Caenorhabditis elegans: one gene and its partner. The protein of the gene in region 1 purifies or fractionates together with the protein of each later gene. This does not show direct contact. Each region holds a gene or a part of one and is shown in the gene's direction. Other genes may lie near its edges.

Evidence for each region.
Region 2: the proteins of marc-6 (region 1) and C09E7.7 fractionate together in Caenorhabditis elegans (co-fractionation; one large-scale study listed by BioGRID). This does not show direct contact.

The regions. Positions count from the first base shown.
Region 1 is NC_003279.8:10,797,817-10,805,624, forward strand, and holds the start of marc-6 (RING-type E3 ubiquitin transferase), read left to right. Parts: upstream 1-1,806; 5' UTR 1,807-1,820; coding exon 1,821-1,971; intron 1,972-2,016; coding exon 2,017-2,128; intron 2,129-2,759; coding exon 2,760-3,426; intron 3,427-4,005; coding exon 4,006-4,375; intron 4,376-5,183; coding exon 5,184-6,400; intron 6,401-6,898; coding exon 6,899-7,009; intron 7,010-7,381; coding exon 7,382-7,628; intron 7,629-7,808. Other genes in the region: F55A3.2 (C2H2-type domain-containing protein), read left to right, coding at 1-84.
Region 2 is NC_003281.10:6,546,217-6,553,060, reverse strand, and holds C09E7.7 (DUF7809 domain-containing protein), read left to right. Parts: upstream 1-1,817; 5' UTR 1,818-1,831; coding exon 1,832-1,915; intron 1,916-2,127; coding exon 2,128-2,337; intron 2,338-2,391; coding exon 2,392-2,496; intron 2,497-2,542; coding exon 2,543-2,692; intron 2,693-2,915; coding exon 2,916-3,194; intron 3,195-3,448; coding exon 3,449-3,652; intron 3,653-3,699; coding exon 3,700-3,912; intron 3,913-3,959; coding exon 3,960-4,268; intron 4,269-4,354; coding exon 4,355-4,481; intron 4,482-4,524; coding exon 4,525-4,939; intron 4,940-4,986; coding exon 4,987-5,091; intron 5,092-5,134; coding exon 5,135-5,197; intron 5,198-5,242; coding exon 5,243-5,335; intron 5,336-5,382; coding exon 5,383-5,484; intron 5,485-5,529; coding exon 5,530-5,571; intron 5,572-5,615; coding exon 5,616-5,828; intron 5,829-5,877; coding exon 5,878-6,151; 3' UTR 6,152-6,339; downstream 6,340-6,844.

The DNA.
Region 1 (7,808 bases):
GAAATGACGTCACACTCGTCTTCTCAACTATATCAACAATATCGTGTGAAAGTCGAAGGAGATGTGACTCTAACCTGCCTCTAAGCCTGTGTCTCTGCTTCTCTTCTCTCTCTTTCTCTCGTTGATAATTACGTTGCTACGGGTTACTTTATTTACATGTTCGCTGTCAAGTCATATGATTGCATTTTTTGTTTTAGATAATATTATTATAATGCTTTAATAAATTCATCTCATTGTTTATTCATTAAATTTTTTTGAATTTCGTTAACTGACCGGTTGAAAGTCCGGAAATTAATTTATTATGATAATGAGTTTTTTTTTAAAGAAAACATGAGATAAATTGGTGATTTGCAAGAAAAAATCAATTCTTAATCAAAACCTTGCAAATTCTTCTCATTTTTGATTACTGGTAAAAACTAGAATTTCTCGTTTCCATCAGTTTATTCAATGATTCTAAAAAATTTACTGGAAAAACTGTATTCATGAGATAAAGTTGAGCGTTTTTTACAGAAAATGATCCAAAATCAAAAAAAGTCTATAAATTACAGTACCCCTTTAAAGGCGCACGCCACTTTTGTAAAACGTCTCCTGCAACGATTAATTGTTTTCGTAGAAAATGTGTGCGCCTTTAAGCAATTACGGTAGTTTTTCACAATTTTTGTATGTTTTTATTTTATTTTCTAATGAAAAAGTACCCATGTTTACCGATGAGGAGTGCGCGAATTTACTAAATAATAATTTATTAAATATAAATTCACTCAAATTTAAATTTTGATTTAAAAAAATTAAAATCTGAAGAAATTCCAGAATTTAGAAATTATTTTAAATAGTAAAATTCTATTTTTCGTTAAAAATAATCTTTTCTAGGCTATAATGCACTTTCCTTCTCTATCCTATCACCATCCTGTCTCTCATTTCTATACACTCTCTCACCCGGTTTCCCTTTTTCTCTCTGCGTCTCCGATTTCCCAACACTCTTGCTGGTTGGTGGCTGTATCACGCTTTGAAGCTTCGAATACTCTAATTTTCAGCATAAATTTCAAAATCAACATGAGAAACTTATCGATTTTTGTTTTGATCACAGTTTCAGCTTTAATTTTAACTATTTTCTCAATTTTTTCACCGACAAAAATAGTTTTGCATTAAAATTTAGTGTTTTTCATGATTCTCCCACCAATTTTCTAATTTTTTCACATTTTTAAAAAACATTCCAGTAGCTTTTCAAACTCGTGGACCCCCTTTGAAGAATTAAAGTTTATAGCTGGAAAGCTTGATTTTGGATCATTTTCGCGAGTAGAAAACATTCAAATCGCTATTTTATCGTTTATTTAAAGCATTTTAGGTGATTTTTGATTTATTCACTGGTGAAAACTTCCGGAAAACGAGAATTTGTAGTTTCTAATTTATAATTAAATGATAAAAATTGGTTTTTGCTTAAAATCCTGGAAAATTGATATAAATTTGCGACTTTAGCATTAAATAAAGAAAAAAACGAAAATCCTCTAAAACAGGATTTCAGTAGAAATCCTGCAATTTTTTCATAGGTATTTACAATTTTCTGCTATATTTATCGATTTTAGAACATTTCCGCTCATTCGTTTTGTATTTAACATTAAAAACGACAATTTGTCTACAACCTTGCCAAAAATTCAAAATCTTCTCCTCCGGGAGTATTTGAGCCACGTAAATCTACAGAATGTCGAATTAGAAGTATAAATTTCGGAATCCTGAACCTTTTTTTTGAAATATCGGCTTTAAATACTCGATTTCCTCTATTTTTAAATATAAAATTCCATTAATTTTCAGAATCCTCAAACCGAATGGAAGTTGAACATGAACAACCACCGGAACATGAAGCCGGTAGTGTAGATGCTTCAAATCGACCATCAACTTCTTCTGAAAATCCAAATCCAGAAGAACCGTGTCCACAACCACCTTCTGATCCAATAATCGATGATAATGATGATCATTGTCAGTTTTTGAAGTTTTTAATTGATAAAATCCATATTTTTCCAGTAATGTGTCGAGTATGTCGTGGAAATGAGGGAAGTCTCTATTATCCGTGCTTATGTACAGGAAGTATTAAATATGTACATCAAGAATGTCTAGTAGAGTGGCTCAAGTACAGGTAATGGTGATTTTCAATTAAAAATAGCTGAAAAAATGCCTAAATTTAGCCAAAATCTGAGATTTCACCAATTTACAGCGGCTGGAATTTGATTTTTATTCAATTTTCCAATTTTGTTTGCCAATCGGCAAGAAAACGGATAAAAACCACTCAAAAATAAGTAGAAATTTAAAATAATTAAATTCTGGTCGCTATGACACGAAAAAGGTGACAAAAGTTTTAGATTTTGGCAAGTTTTCGGGATTTTTCTTTCGAAATTGAAAAAAAAGCAACTTTCGGGTAGTTTCTTAGATTTTTAGAAGAAATTTGAAAATTTAAGATCTAAAAAATAATTTTAAAAAACCAAAAAAATTGCTTCTAAAATGTAAAATTGAAGATTTCAAGCCAACTAGTTTTTGTTAAATGTTTTTGGTTTTGAAATTCTGAAAAAGTCTGTTAATGAAATTCAGCCTTTTCTAGTCAGTTTGAATTTTTTAAAATAAATTTTGATAATTTTGCCTGAAAAATACGATATCTGGAATATTAACGGCCGATTCTCAAATTGTGTGCGCCTGTAAAGAGTGCTGTAGCTCCTGATTTCTTGTTTCTCTCTAAAAATCAAACAAAAATTTAAAAATGTTAATTTTTTCAGTAAAAAAGAAGTATGTGAACTGTGTAATCACAAATATTCATTCCAACCAATTTATCGACAAGATATGCCAAAAGCTCTTCCAATTCTTGAAATATTACGTGGAGTTTTGATATCAGGAGCAATAATGGTCAGAACATGGATTATATATACAATTGTAATGACTACATGGCTTGGAATTGTACCATTAACAGCCGCCCGTATCTATAATTGCATCTTCTATTTATCATTTCATGACATTGTCAATGCACCATTCCAATTGTTCAAAGCTGAACATTTTTTCAATGATATTCTGAAAGGAAGTCTACTACTTCTCGTTTTTGTGTGTACATTCATCTCGCTTGTCTGGCTCCGCGAGCAAATTATTATCGGTGGACCACAACACTTTTTGAATATTGAAGCGGAAGAGAATGAAGGAGAGGATGATGTTGTTAATGAGAATAATGAATCGTCGGATGAATCGGAAGATGATGAAGAAGATGAAGATGATGAGGAGGATGACGACGAGGATGATGAAGAAGAGGAAGAAGATAGTGAATCTGGATATGAAGAGGATCCTGTTCCAGAATTTCGTGAAGAAGGTGAAGCTTATGTGGCTCGGAGGAGAGTACCATTTGAAGAAAGAAGACGTGATATTCTTGAAGCTAGACATGGATTCCGGCCGCAGATGGTACTGTAGATATAGGAATTTTGCAAGACCGCGGCGCGGTTTTTTTTCCTGAAAATATATTGAAAAACGAAAAAACTTCATCTAGGTTGCCTGAAGACCGCTAACTTTGGCGAATTTGAATTGCCGCGCTTTTGCCTCGAAACTCCGCCCATTTTTCCGTGCCGCACTTTTGTTTCTACGAATTCTTCGTCTTTCCTGAAGTTTTCAAGTGAAAAATAAGTGTCTTGTCTACAGGGACATTATTAAATGCTTATTGCTAAATGTTTCACTTGAAAATTTCAGGAAACAAAAATTCTATTTCAGAATTTACCTGCCAGTAATTTCAATAATTAAATTTCGTGTTTCTTTTGTGCTTTCACGGATTTTCTGACTATTTTGGCTTTTTTATTATCAAATTGCTTTTTTTCCTAAAATATGTAAGCCACAAAAAGAGATTTTTTAGAAAAAAAAACATTAGAATAACCTTAAACTGAAAAAAGTTGATAGCTTTGTAAAATTAATTGTTTGGTAAACCGCGCCGCAACCTTGCAAAATTCACAGATTAATTCAAAAATTCACTAATTTTATTCATTATTTTAGCCAAATCTGGGTATATACGATGACATGAGAGATGATGAGAATGAAGTACTCGAAAATGATCATGTACTTCAAAATGTACAAGAAGATCGTATTCCACCACCAATGGAGCCGGAGCCAATAGTTCCACGAGCAGCTGCACGTGCAAATCGACGAATTCGTCGTCAACGAGAAAATGAAGAAGCAGCGGCGGCAGCAGCAGCAGCTCAAGAACAAGGTGGAGCTGGAGATCAAGAAGATAATTGGAGAGAATGGGATCGATTTGGTGATGAACTGACATGGCAGAGATTATTGGGACTTGATGGATCTTTGATTTTCTTGGAACATGTATTCTGGGTTATATCATTGAATACACTTTTTACTGCTACTTTTGGTAAATTTTAATTGGAGTAGCGAGTTTTAAGCGGAATTTTCCCTTTTTTTAACAGTTTTTTTATTTAAAATATCTATAAATTTAGAAAGCGGAGACTAAAAATGATTACCTAAGAAATAGTCAAAAAAAAAGTTTTTTTTGGATGGATTTTTGATATTTTTAATTTGTTTTTTGTTGAAAAAATAACTTTCAAAAAATTTACATTATTCCAAATAAACAAGAAACATTTTTATAAATTGCAATCTCAAAAAAATTTAAAATTTTGAATATTCTTATTTGATTATTGTTTTTATTCTGAAATTAACGGTGAAAAATTGTGAAAAACAAACAAATTAATTAATTAAAAATCAAGTTTTATTTATTTTACACGACTATTTTTGTTAAACGTGCGCCTTTAAAGAGTACTGTAGATAGAAAATTCTTATTTCTAGCGTTGAAAATTCCACAGTAGAAATTACAGTACTCTTTGAAGGCGCACATGTAACGAAAATTGTCTGGTCGATACCGTATACCGGTACCGTATTTTTTGCGTCTAGGTAATAATAATAATTGCAAGTTTTTCAAAAAAGCAAATTAAATACATTTAAAAAGATAATTTATCAATTTTTAAAGAAAAAATTGAAAAATCGAAAAAGGAAATTTTGGAAAAAATCTGAAATTTCCCCAGCTTCAGCAGCTTCAGCTTCAGGCAGCTTTTTTGATTCTTTTAGGATAATTTCTTAAATTTTCCTGCTCAAAAGTTCCAAATTTTCCGCTTAAAAATCGCTAAGAACCGAACAAAATTTATTCAAACTGAATAACTTTTCAGCGTACTTCCCATTTCGCATTGGAAACTGGTTCCTAAGTGTCATCGGACTTCATGGAAAAATTTCATATTTCCCATCAATCGTAGCGATGCTTCTTGGATACATTCAAATAGCCATCATAACCTACGTCATTCACCAAATAATGCTCCAATTCAAAATGAAAATGATGTATCGATTCCTTGGAATAATGTTCCTTATCATTAAAGTCTTCTTGCTGGTATTCTTGGAAATTGGATTTTTCCCTGTAATGTGTGGATGTTGGATGGATGTTTGTACACTTCCATTATTCAATATAACATTATCACAAAGAATTGCAACATTTGCCACAGCTCCATTCATGTCAATATTCCTTCATTGGATGGTTGGAATGGTTTATGTATTTTATTCAGCGTCATTTGTAATACTTCTACGAGAAATTCTGCGTCCTGGAGTACTATGGTTTATGAGAAATCTAAATGATCCCGACTTTAATCCAATTCAAGAAATGATTGATCTACCGTTCACGCGGCATTTCCGAAGACTTGTTGTATCTACAACTCTGTTCTTTTCAACGATTCTTCTCATCTTCTACATTCCTCTCAACATAATCTCATCACTTATTCCATCACTTCTACCCTACAATGTTTCAATGAGCGCAGAGACTCCACTATCAGAAATCTCATTGGAACTACTGATACTTCAAGTAGTGATGCCTGCAATCTTAGAACATGCAAATGGTCGTGGTTTTATCAAGTATGGAGTCAGATTTTGGTGTAAAGTAGTTGGAGCTGCGTTGGATTTGGATCAGTATTTGTTGTCGGATAACAATAACAATAATCAGAACAATAATAATAATAACAATGATCCATTGAGAGCAGGAAATAATCAAGCTGGTGGAGGTCTTGCAGCTGAGCATCAAGCTCTTCTCCTGCTCCGCGAGCCCCGAGCCTACGAGCCATACAATCGACCATCACTATTCGGAGTTCGTGTATCGATTCTTCTTGTTCTAATGTCTTTGACAACAACTCTATCAAGTGTTGTTGTATTCATTGTACCTGCTTCAATTGGACGTTTCATTATTCTAATGGTTTCGGGACAAACGAATGTTCATGAGATGTACACTGTTTCTCTGGGTCTCTATGTTTGTTGGACAATCGGGAAGTTTGGAGCAGTTGTGACGAAGTTTGTGAGAGGAGGACCACACTTGTTCAAGAGAGCTGTTGTTCATTATTCTTACTTGGTACGGTAAATTATTTAATGTCGATTTACGGAGTACCTCGTGTACTCCTCGTGGAGAAGGTGTTGATTGTTTTTTTTACCAAAAAAGCTTGATTTTGAACAGATGTAGCTAATTTTTCTTGAATTTGACAGTCGAATTAGAGATTGGAGGCAATACCGAATCCGCAATTTTTCCGCCAAAAACACGGTACCCGGTCTCGACGATTTTTGTAATTTCGTATGTGACAAAAATTATCGTTTTGAGACCGATTACCATATTTTTAGCCCAAAAATTTACTGTTCTAAATTTCAGAAAAAAAGTGGTTCAGACAAAAACTGTAAAATCTTCTCCTCGTGGAGTACACGAGCTGCGTGAATCGACACGGGCCCATTCAACACAAGGATGCCGGTTTTTGGAAAAAAATTTCAGAAAATTTCCAAATTTTCCATAATTTCTTAATTTACAAAAAAAACCCATCCATTCAAAATTTAAAATTGAAAATTAATAAAAAATTTTCAGGGAATGCGCCTGTTTCTTGTTGCAATTCCAATAATTATCGTCTTGCCACTTTTGATGGGTACTTATTTCCAATTGGTTTTCTTCACTCCAATGCGATTGGGATATCAACAGGTAACACTTTCAGACTGGATTTCTGAAAATTCTGAGAAAAAATTATTAAAAAATTAGCCTAAAATCATAAGTTTTCAAGTCTTTTTGTCTTTTTAAAATGATTTTTACGCCGAAAAAACGTTTAAAATTCATATTTTAATCAATTTCGGCATTATAATCGTTGAAAGCAACGAAAAACAAGACAAAAATACGAAAAAAAGGGGTGGAGAGTTTTCAATTTCAAAAGAAGCATTTTTCTGCGTTTCCATAATAATTTTTTTAAAGTTTCAATTTTCAAAGTTTATGATTTTTCGCTGCAAAAAGTATATAAATATATTCTGGCCACAAAAAAAGAGTAGAAAATCTTCAAATCATTTCAAAAAATCATTTCAGACAGCACTAATGTTCCCATATCAAGACTGGGCAATGGGCGTTGTTCAAATCAAAATCTTCGGTGTAATTGCTGTAATGGGACCCGATTGGTGGCTGAAAACAGAACTCGATCTACTTGTGCAACGTGGAATTGAGAATTTTGCGGCGTTACACGTTTTCGTGAGGATTGTCGTCCCATGTATACTGTATCTATCGACTTTTATCGCTTTTCCGGTTGTTGTGATCAAGTTTTACGCGTTTATTTCAGGTAAAATGGATTCTAGAAGGATTTCAGAATTAATTGGATCCTTTAAATTGAAAAAATCTCAAAAATGGCCATGTGTTGATTTACGCAGCTCGTGTACTCCCCGAGGAGACCCCAAAAAACCTGGATTTCAATCATTTTCACTTTTTTATTGGTTTTTATCAGCTGAAAACCTTATTTAAA
Region 2 (6,844 bases), on another chromosome or scaffold:
TCTTGCCAGTTTTTAACAAGTTGAAATTGGAAAATCGTGAAGTGGGAAACTAGCAGTGAAGCTTCCAAAAGTTTCAAGCCTTACTGAAAGGAACGTATTGGAAACTGAAAACGAAAGCTTAAGAAGATACCGTTTTTATATATTTGAGTTTTGAAAAGCCGTAATAGGTTTTAAATACAGTTTTCTCAATAATTCAAACTTGTAACGATTAAGTTGAGGCACAGAATAAGATGGTAATACTAAGTTATGTTGAAAAAAGCCAAGAAAGACTGAAAACATTGCTTTCAACCTGATTTTTTGTAAGTAATGTAATGTTGAAACATTATTCTTCATAGTTCAGCACTTTATATGGCTTATTTGAGCCCAAACGTACAGTAGTATGTGGCAAGAAATAAAATATTGTGCCAACAAAATTGGAGCCGAAAAACCCATGATAAAATGTTTTATACGTGTATTGCTCTAATAAAATACCAAATATTAATTAGATTCACTGTCTCGACTCTTTTTAATTCAGATTAATAACTTTTAGCTCCTCGTTTTAACGAAAAATTATAACTGAATTTCACAAAAAGAGTTCGATCTGAGTTCTTTCAACAGGTACATAGACGAATTATATCTTAAAATGACGACAAAATTTTGCTCTATAAACGTTATCATTGCAGGTTATGAGAAAAACTTAAATAAAAATTTAATTTTAAAAAATCCGAAAATTCAGTTGTTATTTTCAAACAGTTCGTTATGCATTTCCACCGAACGGTTTCCGATAATTTTTGTTTCTCCACTTTCGGTTCAGTCTACTCTATAATTGTTATCATTTTTGAAATAGAAAAATCGACGAAAAACTAATAAAAATCGAGGGAAATCACTCTTCAACGGTGAAATCTCGGTGGACGCAATGAAGCTGCAGCAAGCGCGCCCTATCGCAATTTCCACCCGAAGAGACCGTGGCAACTTGAAGCCTTTTTTCATGATTGATTTGAATAAAATGAATAATAAATGTTTGTTTCACAGGCCTCGTTTATAGAATTGCATTCTCCCATTTGCGCGCGAATATTTTTTTTTGACCCAACAGACGGGGGGCACTCCGTGCTGTCGTTTCTCCCTATAACGCTCTGTTGGCTGTAGAGACGCAGGCGTTGCAAGATAGTGTGTTCATGTTTTGAGTACGGAGAAAGCAAAGAAGGAAACAGCCGAACTCCTTTTTTTCGTCTTTTTTTCAAGAATTATTTTTAAAATTCAAATTTCTCCCGCTAAACCTTTCAGTAGTGGAGGCCCCACGAAAAGGGGATCTGCAAAAAGGGGATCTGCGAAAAGGGGAGATACGAAAAGGGGAGATACGAAAAAGGGGAGCAACGAAAAGGGGATCTGGCACTGTGCCAAACGCTATTTTTCTCGAAGAAAACAATACAAAGATGCTCCGATGTTACGCGTCGCGTGTTATTAAGCGTATCTTCTAGAAGAAAATTTTAAAAATCAACGTGCGTTGCGTGAGAAAAAATGCGTTTTGTGCGTTTGGCACAGTGCCAGCTCCCCTTTTCGTATCTCCCCTTTTCGTATCTCCCCTTTTCGTATCTCCCCTTTTCGTATCTCCCCTTTTCGTATTTCCCCTTTTCGTATCTCCCCTTTTCGCAGATCCCCTTTTTGCAGATCCCCTTTTCGTTCTGCTCCCCTTTTCGTGGGGCCTCCAGTAGTGTGCTTATTAAAAAACCATCAGATCACGAGAATGCCTACCGGGCCAGAACGGTGCAACGTTGCACATCACGGCTACTTTTTTTTTCATTATTTTCTTACTTCATAACGACAATTTTTTGTTTTGTTTTTCAGTTTACTAATGGCTGAAGATTTCTACAAAAGTCAAACATGCTATTCACTATATTCACTGTTACGCGTGGCAATGGACTATATTCCGTTAGAGGTAAGCATTTTTTCTTGAAGGCTTTTTGTCCTATTTTTGTGTGGTATCTGGTTAACGTAACAAGGCTTATTCTTCTGAAGTATGAGAGAATACTTACGTGCTTTCCTTACTGTACAAAAACACAAAAAAAAAAACTTTTTTTATATAAAGACTTATTTTCGAACTGTTGTAAAAAATTAAATATGCTTATCAACAGTTTTTGAACATTTCAGCTCCGTCGAAACCTGAATTTATCGAAACTCGAATCACTTGTCGATCCACGAAACCTTGCCGATGACACTGTTCTCGAAGCGATTCTCAAGTCCGATCGGCGATTTAGATGGTATGGAACAGCTGCAGAGTTTCGAAAATCACTCGCTTATTATATGATCTTTACATCCAGTCACAAAAAGTGTGCAGTTCCAATGTACGAGGTGTTCACCGTGAGAAATAATTAATCAGTTTGAGACAACATGTTGAAATATCACCAATTTCAGACAACTGCTCCGATAATGAAGAGCTTGAAAGGAGGACAGTTTCTCTATAAACATGATATTTTCTCGCATTTGCGCCACTGTCTCATCAGGACATGGTCACAGACAGTAATTATAAACTTTTAAAGCTTAAAATGTTAACATTTCATTTCAGAAAATTGATAGTTATTTCATTCAAAGCGCGTTGATCTGTATCAGAATAAGAGAGGACAAATTAGGCAATTGCTACGAGTTTGTAAAGAACTATGATACCATTTTGAAGCATATCAAGGAAGAGGTCCGAGTTGCAGTTATCAAAGCCGCTGTAAGTTAACTCCTGATCGAAGTTGTCACTGCTTTAGTAGAAAAAACATTTCATGTATACGGAAAACAATAAACTTAGACTTGAGTTACCAAATGAATATTCTCTACGAGTAAGACTAAGTTACGCTTGTTTTCATTAATTATTAACTAGAAGTTTTGTAGTATCACATGTATTATTTTGAGGGCAACAATAGAATATTGAATTTTTTATAAACTTTTTTCAGCAGCCCTTGACTCATGAAGAGTTTGACGCGCTTGACGAATCTACACCTAAACTCAGCCTGAATGTTCTCATTAGTATGTGGAAGAAGGAATTTTCTGATTGGAAGGATGAAGAATTCAAATATTTCATTGATTTTCTGAAAAGTCAGATTATTGAATTCTCGATGCAAACTAGACGAGAAAGATACTTGGAGATGGTTTTGTTCCATAAACGTTTCGTTAAAATAATTTCGAAAATAATGGACAATCATCCGGAATTATTCATGCCGTACAATCAAACGGTTAGTTAAAAATTTTTTTTTGCTTTCTGTAAGCGCTTTCTGTCGACTTGGAGTTGTTTGAAAGCTTAGCTAACATAATATCAATTATTTACAATAATTAGCTCAAGCAGAAATTGAACAGAAAATAGATAGTGAGATAAGTTCAAAAAAATGTTATGATCTCTGCAATCCTCTGTAAATTTGGAAAAAAATGACAAGCAGTTTTTGATTATATGACAACTCAAGTAGGTTATGTTTTAAACAAAAAATTTCAGAATCACCCTAACGTGCCTATTGCTGTAAGAGTTTTTACATACGAAGATCGTAAAATGGTGATGAGAAGTGAATTATTCAAAGCAATCAATATGAAATATCCAAATCGAAGGCCAATTGAGTATAAGGATGTGGATGGTTTCTTGTATGCAATGGAACTTAAAGATGTTTTCAAGAATTTTGGCGATTTGTGGCACGATATTGAGGTAACTTTTCGTTTTTTTGTTCAAATTTTAATGAATTCGAATTTTAGTTCTTGATCACTCCGATATGCAAAACGGATCAAAGAACTGTTCCAATTATTACTTCTACTGGTGATTTCTGCATTCCTGGATTTCGAGCATTTTCCGAAATATTCTATCTAATGTCTTTAATTATGAGAGTTTTTCAAAAAGTTAAAATAAACTCAATGCATGTATTGGATGACTACATCAAGATTCTCGTATCACAGTTGGAACCGTTCTTGGTAAATAGTTTGATAAAATAATAATTGAGAGTTAATTTCATTTTCAGAAAAGCCAGTGTTTTATCACAACCGATGCATTTCAAAAAATTGAACAGGAAATGTGCAACTATTGGAAGAAATTCGAAAATATTCCAGTAAAAGATATCAGAGATGTCAAGCGATTCACACTCAACGATTTGAAGAAAGAACTGAAATATTTGGGAATAACAGAAGCATTTCCAGATGTTTTGGTTTACGCGGATTTAGCATTCCCCAAACTTTTGGAAAGCGTCTCTCAAAATAAACTTGAAACTATTGATATGTTTGAAGCTGTGGCAGAATGTACATATTGCTGCCTCTTGGACAAATATCTCGAAGTAAGTTTACGATTAAGTTAGGCCTTATATTTTGAAGTCTTCTATTACGTTTTTACGGAAACTCCGGATAAAAAACCATTTTTCAGTTGGTACAAGTTTGGTTTCCTCAATTTGGATCACACAAAATGTTTTGTTCGATTTTACCTCCAGACCCAGTTGATATTTTCCTAGGAGTATCATCAAGCCACAAAGACTTGCGACGCTATATCAAAGGTTTGCAGTTTTTGAAGCACACATTTTTATATTCTATTTTTAGGAGAAGACAAGGAAAATATGAAAGTTAAAGATACTTCAAATCCGCAAGTGATGAAAAATCAAAGAGAAAACCCAAAAAGCATCTCGAAGCCGGAAGGAAACAATTCCGACACTCCAACAGAATCAGGAAATAGTTCATCTTCAAAAGTGGAAAGCAGTATGGCAAACTGTACGGACTGTAGTGGTGTCAGAAAGGAAATGAAAACAGTGCAGAATGTACTCAAAGATGTTCAGACCCAATTAACAACTATGAAGCACAAGTCTGAAAAGTTTGAAAAGAACATGACTGGATCTGTTGAAAGATCGAAGAAAGCTGAACAAAGGTTGCAGGAGGAAAAGTTGGACCACGTGAAGATTCAGGTTGAGGCAAAGAAGAAGCTCGAGTTGAAATTGGAAGAAGTTGAAACGTGGAAAAAGTAAGTTAATTCTAGTCTTGGATTAATATAGACATTATACCTTTCAGACAAGTGTCTGCGTTGTGGAACTGTAAATCTGACCATGAGGCATTAAACACTAAGCTTTCAAAGTGCGTTGAAAAGGGGAAAAAGCTGAAGGAGATTAATGAGAAGTGAGTTGTCTTGCACCTGTCACCATTGATTTTTCATGTTTAGAGTGTCGAATTCACGTGACCAATTGTCTACAAAAGTATTTGAGCTTAAACTTCAACTGAATCGGTGAGCTTATTTGCAGGTAAAAATAATATATAGGTTCATTTTCAGCGAACTTGAGACTGCGGAAACACTCAAAAATGAGAGAAAGGATTCCGCCAAATTGAGAAACGAAGTCAACCAATTGAAGGATCAACTTGAAAGGTTTTTAGAATTTTAAAGAATTTGAGAGATAATTATACTATTTTCAGAGAACGGGAGATAGCCTATGGACTGCAGGAAGAAGCTTCTAAACTGAGAGTTGGAACAGGCAAGGATGTGAAGAGACAGATCTTAGAGTCGGAAAATGCCCAGTGAGTGCCCGGTGCCTCTATTACTAGTTTACATGTAACTTTCAGACTTCGTCAAGAAAAACAGAGACGTGAAATGGAGAAGTCAAGGTGAAAATTATGAATATAGATTATTTTAACGCAAATATTTTCAGTCTCCTTGAAACAAAGATGATACTATCTCGTCAAAATGAAGAACAACATAAATTAATTCAAAGTCTTATGGATCAAAATCATACAGAAGAAGGGCCATCGAATCATGAAGATGAGAATGGAAGTTATAGAAAAGTACTTTGGAAACATCAGAAGATCAAGGATTTGTATAGAAAAGGAGAACAGCAGAGAGAAGCTGAAGAGATGGTCAATAAGTTCGTTGAATTAGTGGATATAACTTTCATCTTATGAAATGATTTTCAGATTGATTTCGTTGAATCAGCATCCAGAAGTACAACATATATCATTTCTGGAGCTCGAAAGTTTTAAGAAGCAGATCAGTGACTATCTACACACTGTCGAGAAGAACATTCAAAAGATCAAAAGGAATGATGACTTTACGAATCTTGAACCACTTCCAGAACCACCGAAGATGTCAGACAAGTTTATGAGATTGTACTGGAATGAAATGAATAAGCAGCCTTCCACTTCTGATTCCACTTCTTCAACTCAGATGACTAATAACATGTCAGCATAGACGGGTACTCATGTGAAAGTGAGTTTTAAACCTTCAATTTCATTATTTTTGGTTTAAAACTTTCAATCTACAGATAATTGGCTCAAGGAAAAGAAAAGATTCCCGACATGTTGCTCCTGAACAAATTGCTTTTGCATTTAAATTTTTTGAATACCAATGTTTTACCAATGAATAAATTTTCAAGTGTATATTGTATTCCTGGAAATTTTTTTTTGCCAAAAGTTAAATCCCTTTCGATTATTTTTTTTGACACTTTTTTGCTAAAAGTACTTTTTTAAAGTTTTTTTTCGAGATTCGGTTGTCTTTCTCCTTTTTGATCTATCAGTGTTTTTGACATTGAATTAAGTTAAAATTTGGTAGATCATTTGAGTTTTTAAAAAATTTCCTTTCTTGAACGATACATTGACTATTTAATGTTGCCGTTTTTCATCAACTTTTTGAAAAAGATGTTGTATAATTTAAAATTGTGACTTTTTGTATGTAGATCACAATGGACAATGATTTTCTGTCAAGAGAAACCAAGCACTCAAAACGTACACTTATGCTTGCCGCAATTGACTATATTCCCTAAGAGGTAATTATGGTTTTTTTTTTAATTTTTCAACTTTAATATTTTTCAGCTAGTGAAGTGCCTAGACTTGCCTGGTTTAGAGGATATAAGCGAAAATAATAATTATTCCAATGAGGAAATGT